2 linked regions of the Cricetulus griseus genome follow. The protein of the gene in region 1 binds, or shares a complex with, the protein of each later gene. Links are inferred from orthologs where the notes say so. Each region holds a gene or a part of one and is shown in the gene's direction. Other genes may lie near its edges. The genes, in order: Fn1 and Col1a1.

Region 1 (4,346 bases):
GGTATCTCCGGTCCCCTTTACAACCTCAGGAGTGTAGAATGTCCGGAGAATTTTCAGTGGAACTTTATACATTCTTGGAGCAAATAACAATTGAAATATAAAAAAAGAAAAATCTGGCGGCGGAGGAGGAGGGGTGGATAGAGGAATTCTTCCATGACAGTGAAGTCTACAAAAAAGAAAGTGACCACGCGAAGGGATTGGGGGAAAGCTGGAGGAAGTCAAGACCTAAAGGCTTTTCTGCCCATGCCCGCTCTTTTACAGAGGCCACCTCTTCTCTGGATGCAAATGGCCTAGTGAACATGGCATGGACCGGAAGGTTTTTCCCTCCTTCATCAGCCAGTTCAACTACTCCTCTTCTCAAACTGTTCACTCTCCTTCTAAAGGAAACGGGCACTCCATTCCCAGGAGAGGAAAACTTTGCTTCAGGACTCAGAAAAGAAACTGTTGCTTCATCTTTGCAGAGAAACTTGGTCGTGTGAGTTTGCCTGCCGTCTGCCGAGCTCCACGGAGAGCCCCCAGGGCAAGGGTCACCTTTGCCACGCGTTCACTCTCTCCCAGCCGGCTCTTGTTCGAAATCATGTAGGTATTGCTTGGAGGAGCTGGGGTCTGAGCCCAACAGTGTAAAGCAAAGGGGGACCCTAGGCGGCGCACAGGAGACCCAGGAAAAGCACCCAGAAGCAGCCGCCCCACCCCGGGGCTGCAAAAGTGAAGTCTGGATTCCTACAGCCACAAGGTGGTGGCCACTTTATGACTTTCTCGCTCCCCACAAAATACACTCCGGTGAGGACAGACTTTTCTCAGAGGTGACGCAATGTTCTCAAACACCACCACAGCCACCAATTTAAAAAAAGGAAAAAAAAAAAAAAGAGGAAAAAGAGGGGGGCAAGCCTTGTCATCCCAGGCTTCATGTAGCTCCAGCTCCTCCCTCCCTTCCCTCCGGGTCTATCTCACTTTACAGTCGTTTCCCATCCCTACCCCCAATCCTCCTCCAAAAAGTTTGACGACCGCAAAGGAAACCAAAAGGGGAAAAAAAAAGTTTTCTAGCCCCAGACCTGGCGGGAGATCAGCATCTCTTTTGTTCGGGGCGAACCCACCGTCCCCCGTGACGTCACTCGCACTCCGGGCCAATCGGTGCGCGGTCGGCGGCGGCTGCGGCGGCAGGAGGGGTGGGGGGAGTGGGGCCGGTCCCTCCTCCCCAGCCCGCAGGGCCTCGTGGGGGGCGGGAGGGGACTGTCCCATATAAGCCCCGGCTCTTGGGGCATAGCCGCCCGCACCCGCTGCGCTGCACTAGGGGAGGAGAGGGAGCCCCGGGCTTGAGCGGGACCTGCGGCCACAACTTCTGGTCCTCTCCCGCCTTCTTTCCAGCCTCTGTTCCCCATCTTCTTACAGGCGTCCGCACCTCAGGACTTTCCCCCGCAGACTGCGAAGGGACCCACACTTCGGGGCCACTTGCCGCCTGGGGAGGGCGACTCTCCTCCCATCCACTCAAGATGCTCAGGGGTCCGGGACCCGGGCTGCTGCTGGCCGTCCTGTGCCTGGGGACAGCGGTGCGCTGTACCGAAGCCGGGAAGAGCAAGAGGCAGACTCAGCAAATCGTGCAGCCTCAGCAAATCGTGCAGCCTCAGTCCCCGGTGGCTGTCAGTCAAAGCAAGCGTGAGTACCGACAGTCTGGCTGAAACCAAGCGGCCGGCTGCAGGGATGGGTCAGTCCTCAGCGCCCGCTGAAGTTGTAGCGAAAGTTTTGCGCGCGTGCGTGGCTGGGCGAGCGTGTGTGAGTGCGCGCTTCACTGAAAGAAACCAGCTGTGGACACAAAAGGCTTAGGTTTGAACAGGCTGGTTGGGGGTGGAGGGCTCTGGAGAAGATCCTGCAGTTGCGGCGGGGACCGTATGGTCCGCCCCCCCCCCCGCCCCCACAGTGCGCTAACCAATTCTACACCTTCAGATTGCCCTGCCCGGAGCCAAAACTTGTGGTGAAAGAGAAAAGTGACACAAATTTAGACATTTTACGTCTGAGATTAGCGTGATCCCCTCTGCTCCTTATTTTCTTTATTACTAAATAATTGGTTAAATATTTTCCAAATGGGCATGAGGAAAGGATATCTAAATAGTCTCTGACCAACTTGAAAGAGTTGGCTCGGTGCTGCCGTTGGGCTACCTCACCAACAGCAAGGATTGCAATTTCTCTTGGAGTTTTTTAGAGACACACCCTTCTTTTACTTGGGGCTAGAGGAAAATTTAAAAGTTCCCCCTCCTCATTTTTTTATTTTTGAGTTAGTCTCACACTGTAGCCTAAGCTAGCCCCATTACTCTTCCTGTGTAGCCTAGGCTCGTGTTAAACTTGGAGCAATTCTCCTGTCTCAGTTTCCACAGAGCTGGGGTTACAGGCATGGTCAACAGCACACCCAACTTAGCGTTTTCTTGTCTTTTTTTTTTTTTTTTCTAAGACTATTGAAGTGATTTTAAAGGTGATTTCTATTATTTGTGTATCATAATGTTTCCACATTGCTGATGTAGTTCTCCTGGTCAGATGGACATGACATCATTATATAACTTTTAGCCAAGTTAAAAGATAAGAAAAAATATGTAAATACCCACCTACATAAATAATGCTTAAGTCTTTGGACAGCTAGTTTCCACTTCCTTATTTTAGTGGAATATTGTTTTTATGAGATTTTTGTGTTCGTTCAGTCTTGCCAATTCTGTTGACAAAATTTTGTTCGGGGAATAAAAGAGGAGGGATGAAATTGTAATTACCTTTCCCTTCAATTCTTCACAGCTGGTTGTTTTGACAATGGAAAACACTATCAGATAAACCAACAGTGGGAACGCACCTATCTAGGCAATGCCTTGGTTTGTACCTGCTATGGAGGAAGCCGAGGTTTTAACTGTGAGAGTAAACCTGAACGTAAGTGGAATGCAGTCTGGTCGCTGGCAAAAATGATGCTGACTTATTAAAGTTAACTTTCAATAAAAATAATTTGCCCCCCCCACTCCACCCCTGTAGAACTGCCGCTAATTCCCTCTTTGTCAAACCTCTGGTATTGGCTTTTCACATGCTCCTCTTACCCCTAAAACAAATGTATTCCAAACTAGCTTCCAAAACCTTCATTTTATTCTCAAAGAATTTGATTAGAAAATGAAAGGTTTTGCCTGTCTTTCTTCAAAAAGAAAACTTACAAAAGTTTGCTTATAAAAGTTTAATTTATTAGAAAGTTATCTCAGATCTTTGGCTCTCACATTATGGGCCAAGAAATGCTTTGAAGCTCCTGTGTTGTAAAGTGATTTGTTAGCTGCAGTTCAATGAGAAACCACCACCACTTCTGAGACTTTGAAGGCCCTTGATATGTTTCTTGTGAATCACAGCGGTCCCTCCAGAGAAACTGCTCAGGCTACAGGGGAAACATGTCAGTCAGGCTGACAAAGGCCAGTGCCTGCTGAGAGGAAGGCAACCTTCAAACTGTGTGCCTCCCACGTGGCCCTTGAATTGATTTCCCCAGTTTGAGGCTGGAATTTGAAACCTTTTCTTTGCAACTCAGCTGGTCATAGGGTGTGGCTTCTTCCTGAGAATTCTTTACATTGTAAAGAGAGAACAAATTGCAGAGCTTGCCAAAGGCCAAGAACTATGGTTTCATTAAATCATAACTTGAAATTTTTTGAAGTCTCATCTCAGTTACTTGTAGTGTTGCTACTTGTGACCCAGAAGAGGGGCATCTCCCTCAGATGGATGGGAGGGATAGACAAGCTTTTATGTGTGTGAGGCTCACGTGGGCTTCTTCTTCTCCACAGCTGAAGAGACTTGCTTTGACAAATACACTGGGAACACTTACAAAGTGGGTGACACTTACGAGCGCCCTAAAGATTCCATGATCTGGGACTGTACCTGCATCGGGGCTGGGCGAGGGAGGATCAGCTGTACCATTGCAAGTAAGAAAGGCGCTCTGTAATGTGGTGGAGGGCCCATAAACATGTATTTCTCCATCCTGTCCCTGCCGTTTTCTATTGCCTGTGACAGAATATTTCTTACTTTGGGATTTACCCCTGTGACCCTACCCACGTGGTCACCCACCTACTTCTTGTACCTAAGCTGAGGAAGAAGGGTCTAATAGAGGGGTGTGTGTGTGTGTGTGTGTGTGTGTGTGTGTGTGTATGTGCGCGCGTGCCAGTGCACATGTGCACACGAGAGAGAGCATGAGCATGCGTGTATACCGTGGAACCAGGTAGATCTCTTGGTTCTTTTCAATAAGGTATCCACAGAAGATCTACTTATTTTACATTCCCGGGCATCTTCAAGTCAGATTGATCATTTGATCATCTGCAGTGATGAACCAGCCACACTTTTGTTCTTCG
Region 2 (3,803 bases), on another chromosome or scaffold:
CCCTGCTGGTGTTCAAGGTCCCCCTGGCCCTGCTGGGGAAGAAGGAAAACGAGGAGCCCGTGGTGAACCTGGACCGACTGGCCTGCCCGGACCTCCTGGCGAGCGTGTAAGTCCCCTGCTCTTCTCCCTCTTCTCTCTGCCCTCAGTGCTTGCCCAGTGTCTAGGGTGGTGATTAAGCTCACTGGCCTCTTCTTTTCTCCCTGCAGGGTGGACCTGGTAGCCGTGGTTTCCCTGGTGCTGATGGTGTTGCTGGCCCCAAGGTAACCTTTCTTCCTGGCAGTGAAACTGACCCCCCAAGCTGACAGGACTGTTCACACCTCCCTACACTCATGCTCCCAACAATGCTCCCAGCTACCCATGCCCATATTTGTGTATCCCTCCTCCTAATATTTGGCCTCACTTTGGCATCCCCACCGATGCCCCTCAAAGTCCTGAACCTTCTCCTAGCATGAAGAAGATGCTAGCCATGGTGATGAGGCCAAGGCTGTGACCCTGATGTGTCTGTGACTTCTATCCACTTAGGGTCCTGCTGGTGAACGTGGTTCTCCCGGGCCTGCTGGTCCTAAAGGTTCTCCTGGTGAAGCTGGTCGTCCTGGTGAAGCTGGTCTCCCTGGTGCCAAGGTGAGAGCCAAGACCCTCTGTCCTGTGTGAGACTGGGACAGCCTGTAATTGGTGCTCCAGACTCCACACACACACACCGTCCCCCTCCCCCTTCCTTTGTTCATGCTTCTGCCTCTCCACAGGGTCTCACTGGCAGTCCTGGCAGCCCTGGTCCTGATGGCAAAACCGGCCCCCCTGTAAGTATGCTTCCTCTCTCACTCTTCACCCCTACCCCACTGTATACATAACTTTGTCCTTACGGCAACTCTTCTGCCTCTCGTCCTCAGGGTCCCGCTGGTCAAGATGGTCGCCCTGGACCCCCAGGTCCTCCTGGAGCCCGTGGCCAGGCTGGTGTGATGGGATTCCCTGGACCTAAGGGTACTGCTGTAAGTACCCAATGAGGAACAAAGCAGAACCAGGGACAGCTGTACTAACTCCACTGACTTGCTCCATGACCTCAGGCCCCTTAATAACCCTATATGGACCCATTGGTAAAATAAGAGACTCTTGGCTCCATGATCATTGCTTTGTCCCCAACAAATAAGTATTGGGCTTTCTATCCAAGAGTCACCCCTAAGTTTGGTAGGGAAGGGAGAACGCTGAGGAAATAAAAAGCCATTGCAGGTGTGAGTCAGGGAAAAGGAGGGGGAGAGGGTGACTAGGAAGGAGCCTTGGGCAACATCTGCTTTGGGTGCAGGCAGAGAGGCCAAGCATTAGATGCCAGCAAGGCCTCCCCTAGAGGCTGCAGCCTTCTTGAACAGAAAGCCCCCTAGGAACACTCACTGTAATGAGGGGGTCCTTGACTGCAACGGTCTCCTGCCGTGACCCTCAACCCTGCCTCCCTTTCTACATAGGGAGAACCCGGAAAGGCTGGAGAGCGGGGCGTTCCTGGACCCCCTGGCCCTGTTGTAAGTATCTCTTTTGAGTCTCTGTCACCCTTCTGTCCCTGCTGTGACACATACCATCCTCAGAGTGCAGCCACTGTGAGAACATTGGAAGCCACTGGTGGGCTCTGCTTTGTCCCAGAGGTTCAGGCCTTACCTGCTGCTGTTATCTGCCTCACCACACTGAGTTTATCACCTTCTCCCTACAGGGTCCTGCTGGCAAAGATGGAGAAGCTGGAGCTCAGGGAGCCCCCGGCCCTGCTGTAAGTGTCTCTGTCTGGGAGGCCTGGGGAGCAGGGAAGGGGGCACTCTGCCTCCCTTCTCCTTGGACTATTCATGACCACAGCCTCTTCTCTGTGACAGGGTCCTGCTGGTGAGAGAGGTGAACAAGGCCCCGCTGGCTCCCCTGGATTCCAGGTAAGGTCTGGTGACAGGTTTCTAGAGAGTTCAGGATGTTCCTTTGTTAACTCTTACAGATTTTAAGCCCTTCCCCTCCATCTCCCACCTTACAGGGTCTCCCCGGCCCTGCTGGTCCTCCTGGTGAAGCAGGCAAGCCCGGTGAACAGGTAAGACATAGCAGCTGGGCAGAGGGCAGGAGCATGCAGGAAATAAAAAAGTAACAAACCACTCACTGTCCCTAGCTGGTCAGGAAGGCAGCAGCTAGAAAGAGAGGTTAGACACAGGGGAGGACTGTGGTTACACTAAAAAGAACATGGGAGCTACATATGATCTGGAAATGGTTGTGTGGGTTCTAGGCAAGGTGACTTCTTTATACAGAATAACTCTGGCTTTACCTCAAGCCTTCCTACTGTTAAAAAGAGATTCCAATTCTCAGCCGAAAATGTGTCCATCTCTAAATGTGGGCCCCAAGGACCAGCTCACAGCAAGAGGGGCAGAGGCTCAAGGGGAGTTTGGTCTCACTGTTGTTTCTCCTTCCCACCCTCAGGGTGTTCCTGGAGACCTTGGTGCCCCTGGACCCTCTGGAGCAAGAGTAAGTGGGCCCTCTCATGCCATTTCCATCACTATGTCCTGGGCTTGGCCCTGTTGGAGCAGCCATCATGTGCCCTCTCCTTCCTTTGTAGGGCGAGAGAGGTTTCCCTGGTGAGCGTGGTGTACAAGGTCCCCCAGGTCCTGCTGGTCCCCGTGGAAACAATGGTGCTCCTGGCAATGATGGTGCCAAGGTGAGGGCATCATGGAAAGGGTATGATGGCTATGAGACTCAAACCATAGAGGTGTGGAGGGTTGGGGGACAAGACCAGAGTGGGGGCCTATGGAACCTGAGGTCAGATCTGTGAGTTTGTTCTTTTAGCTGGAACCTTGACCTTGGACCCACACATAGGGGCTCTGAGACATTTCCTGGGACTCCATGTCTCACTCATCTTTTTGTTTACCAAACAGGGTGATACTGGTGCCCCCGGAGCTCCCGGTAGCCAGGGCGCTCCCGGTCTTCAGGGAATGCCTGGTGAACGTGGTGCAGCTGGTCTTCCAGGTCCTAAGGGTGACAGAGTAAGTCAACCTTCCCCTCCTATGAGCTCTTGGTGGTTCTCACCCATCTCCTTGCTTTGCTGGGTAATTTTATGCCTGTGATTCAGGCCCTTCTCCTGATGTTACCATGGTAATGAGAGCTGGGGCTTTCCCCTAATGGAGGCGCCCTTATTTATTGTCCTGTTGACCTCAGGGGCCTCTTAACCCAGGTTCCACGTAAATCCTCAAGTAGGCACCTTTACCCCTGAAAGGATCTTGTATCCTTGGCACCGTGTCTGAGAAACATCTGCAGAATGCTGTACCTGAAGAAGGACCCTGAGAAATATTTGCAGAACTCTGTAGCTCAACTCCTGGCCCCACACTGGAAGTCTGACTTTACCCTGTCTTTAGGGTGATGCTGGACCCAAAGGTGCCGATGGCTCTCCTGGCAAAGATGGCGTCCGTGGTCTGACTGGTCCCATTGGTCCTCCTGGCCCTGCTGGTGCCCCTGGTGACAAGGTGAGTGGCTGCTTTGTCACTGATTTCCTAACACATAACTGCCTCAGCAAGCCCAGGTGGGGCTCTGCAGGGAAGGCATGTCCTGCCATATAAAGCTGGTGACCCAGGAAGTTTGAGGGACCAGAAGGGTGGGGAGGTGTTATTGGTTCATCTTGCAGGAGAGTTTAGAGTTGTTGTCTCTCCCTCATAGGGTGAAACTGGTCCCAGTGGTCCTGCTGGTCCCACCGGAGCCCGTGGTGCCCCCGTAAGTACAGAAGACCCCTGCTAAGATCTGTGGTCTGCCCTTCTCTCCTATTTGCTTTCACACACGCACACACACACACACACACACACACA

Evidence for each region.
Region 2: the proteins of Fn1 (region 1) and Col1a1 are in contact, whole or in part, in a crystal structure (PDB 3GXE), measured with the Homo sapiens proteins. The link is inferred for Cricetulus griseus from reciprocal best matches to the Homo sapiens genes FN1 and COL1A1. Residues at the interface, in NP_997647.2 of Homo sapiens: Asp516, Gln517, Lys533, His535, Glu537, His539, Leu541, Gly549, Arg550, Gly551, Arg552, Trp553, Lys554, Cys555, Pro557, Gln560, Phe569; in NP_000079.2 of Homo sapiens: Leu261, Pro262, Gly263, Met264, Lys265, Gly266, His267, Arg268.

Annotation. Positions count from the first base shown.
Region 1 is NC_048595.1:425,036,419-425,040,764, reverse strand, and holds the start of Fn1 (fibronectin), read left to right. Parts: upstream 1-1,324; 5' UTR 1,325-1,490; coding exon 1,491-1,653; intron 1,654-2,775; coding exon 2,776-2,904; intron 2,905-3,785; coding exon 3,786-3,923; intron 3,924-4,346. UniProt on the Homo sapiens protein: Fibronectins bind cell surfaces and various compounds including collagen, fibrin, heparin, DNA, and actin. Fibronectins are involved in cell adhesion, cell motility, opsonization, wound healing, and maintenance of cell shape.
Region 2 is NC_048600.1:108,126,168-108,129,970, forward strand, and holds part of Col1a1 (collagen alpha-1(I) chain), read left to right. Parts: coding exon 1-106; intron 107-206; coding exon 207-260; intron 261-522; coding exon 523-621; intron 622-743; coding exon 744-797; intron 798-887; coding exon 888-986; intron 987-1,454; coding exon 1,455-1,508; intron 1,509-1,693; coding exon 1,694-1,747; intron 1,748-1,847; coding exon 1,848-1,901; intron 1,902-1,996; coding exon 1,997-2,050; intron 2,051-2,430; coding exon 2,431-2,475; intron 2,476-2,566; coding exon 2,567-2,665; intron 2,666-2,882; coding exon 2,883-2,990; intron 2,991-3,359; coding exon 3,360-3,467; intron 3,468-3,657; coding exon 3,658-3,711; intron 3,712-3,803. UniProt on the Homo sapiens protein: Type I collagen is a member of group I collagen (fibrillar forming collagen).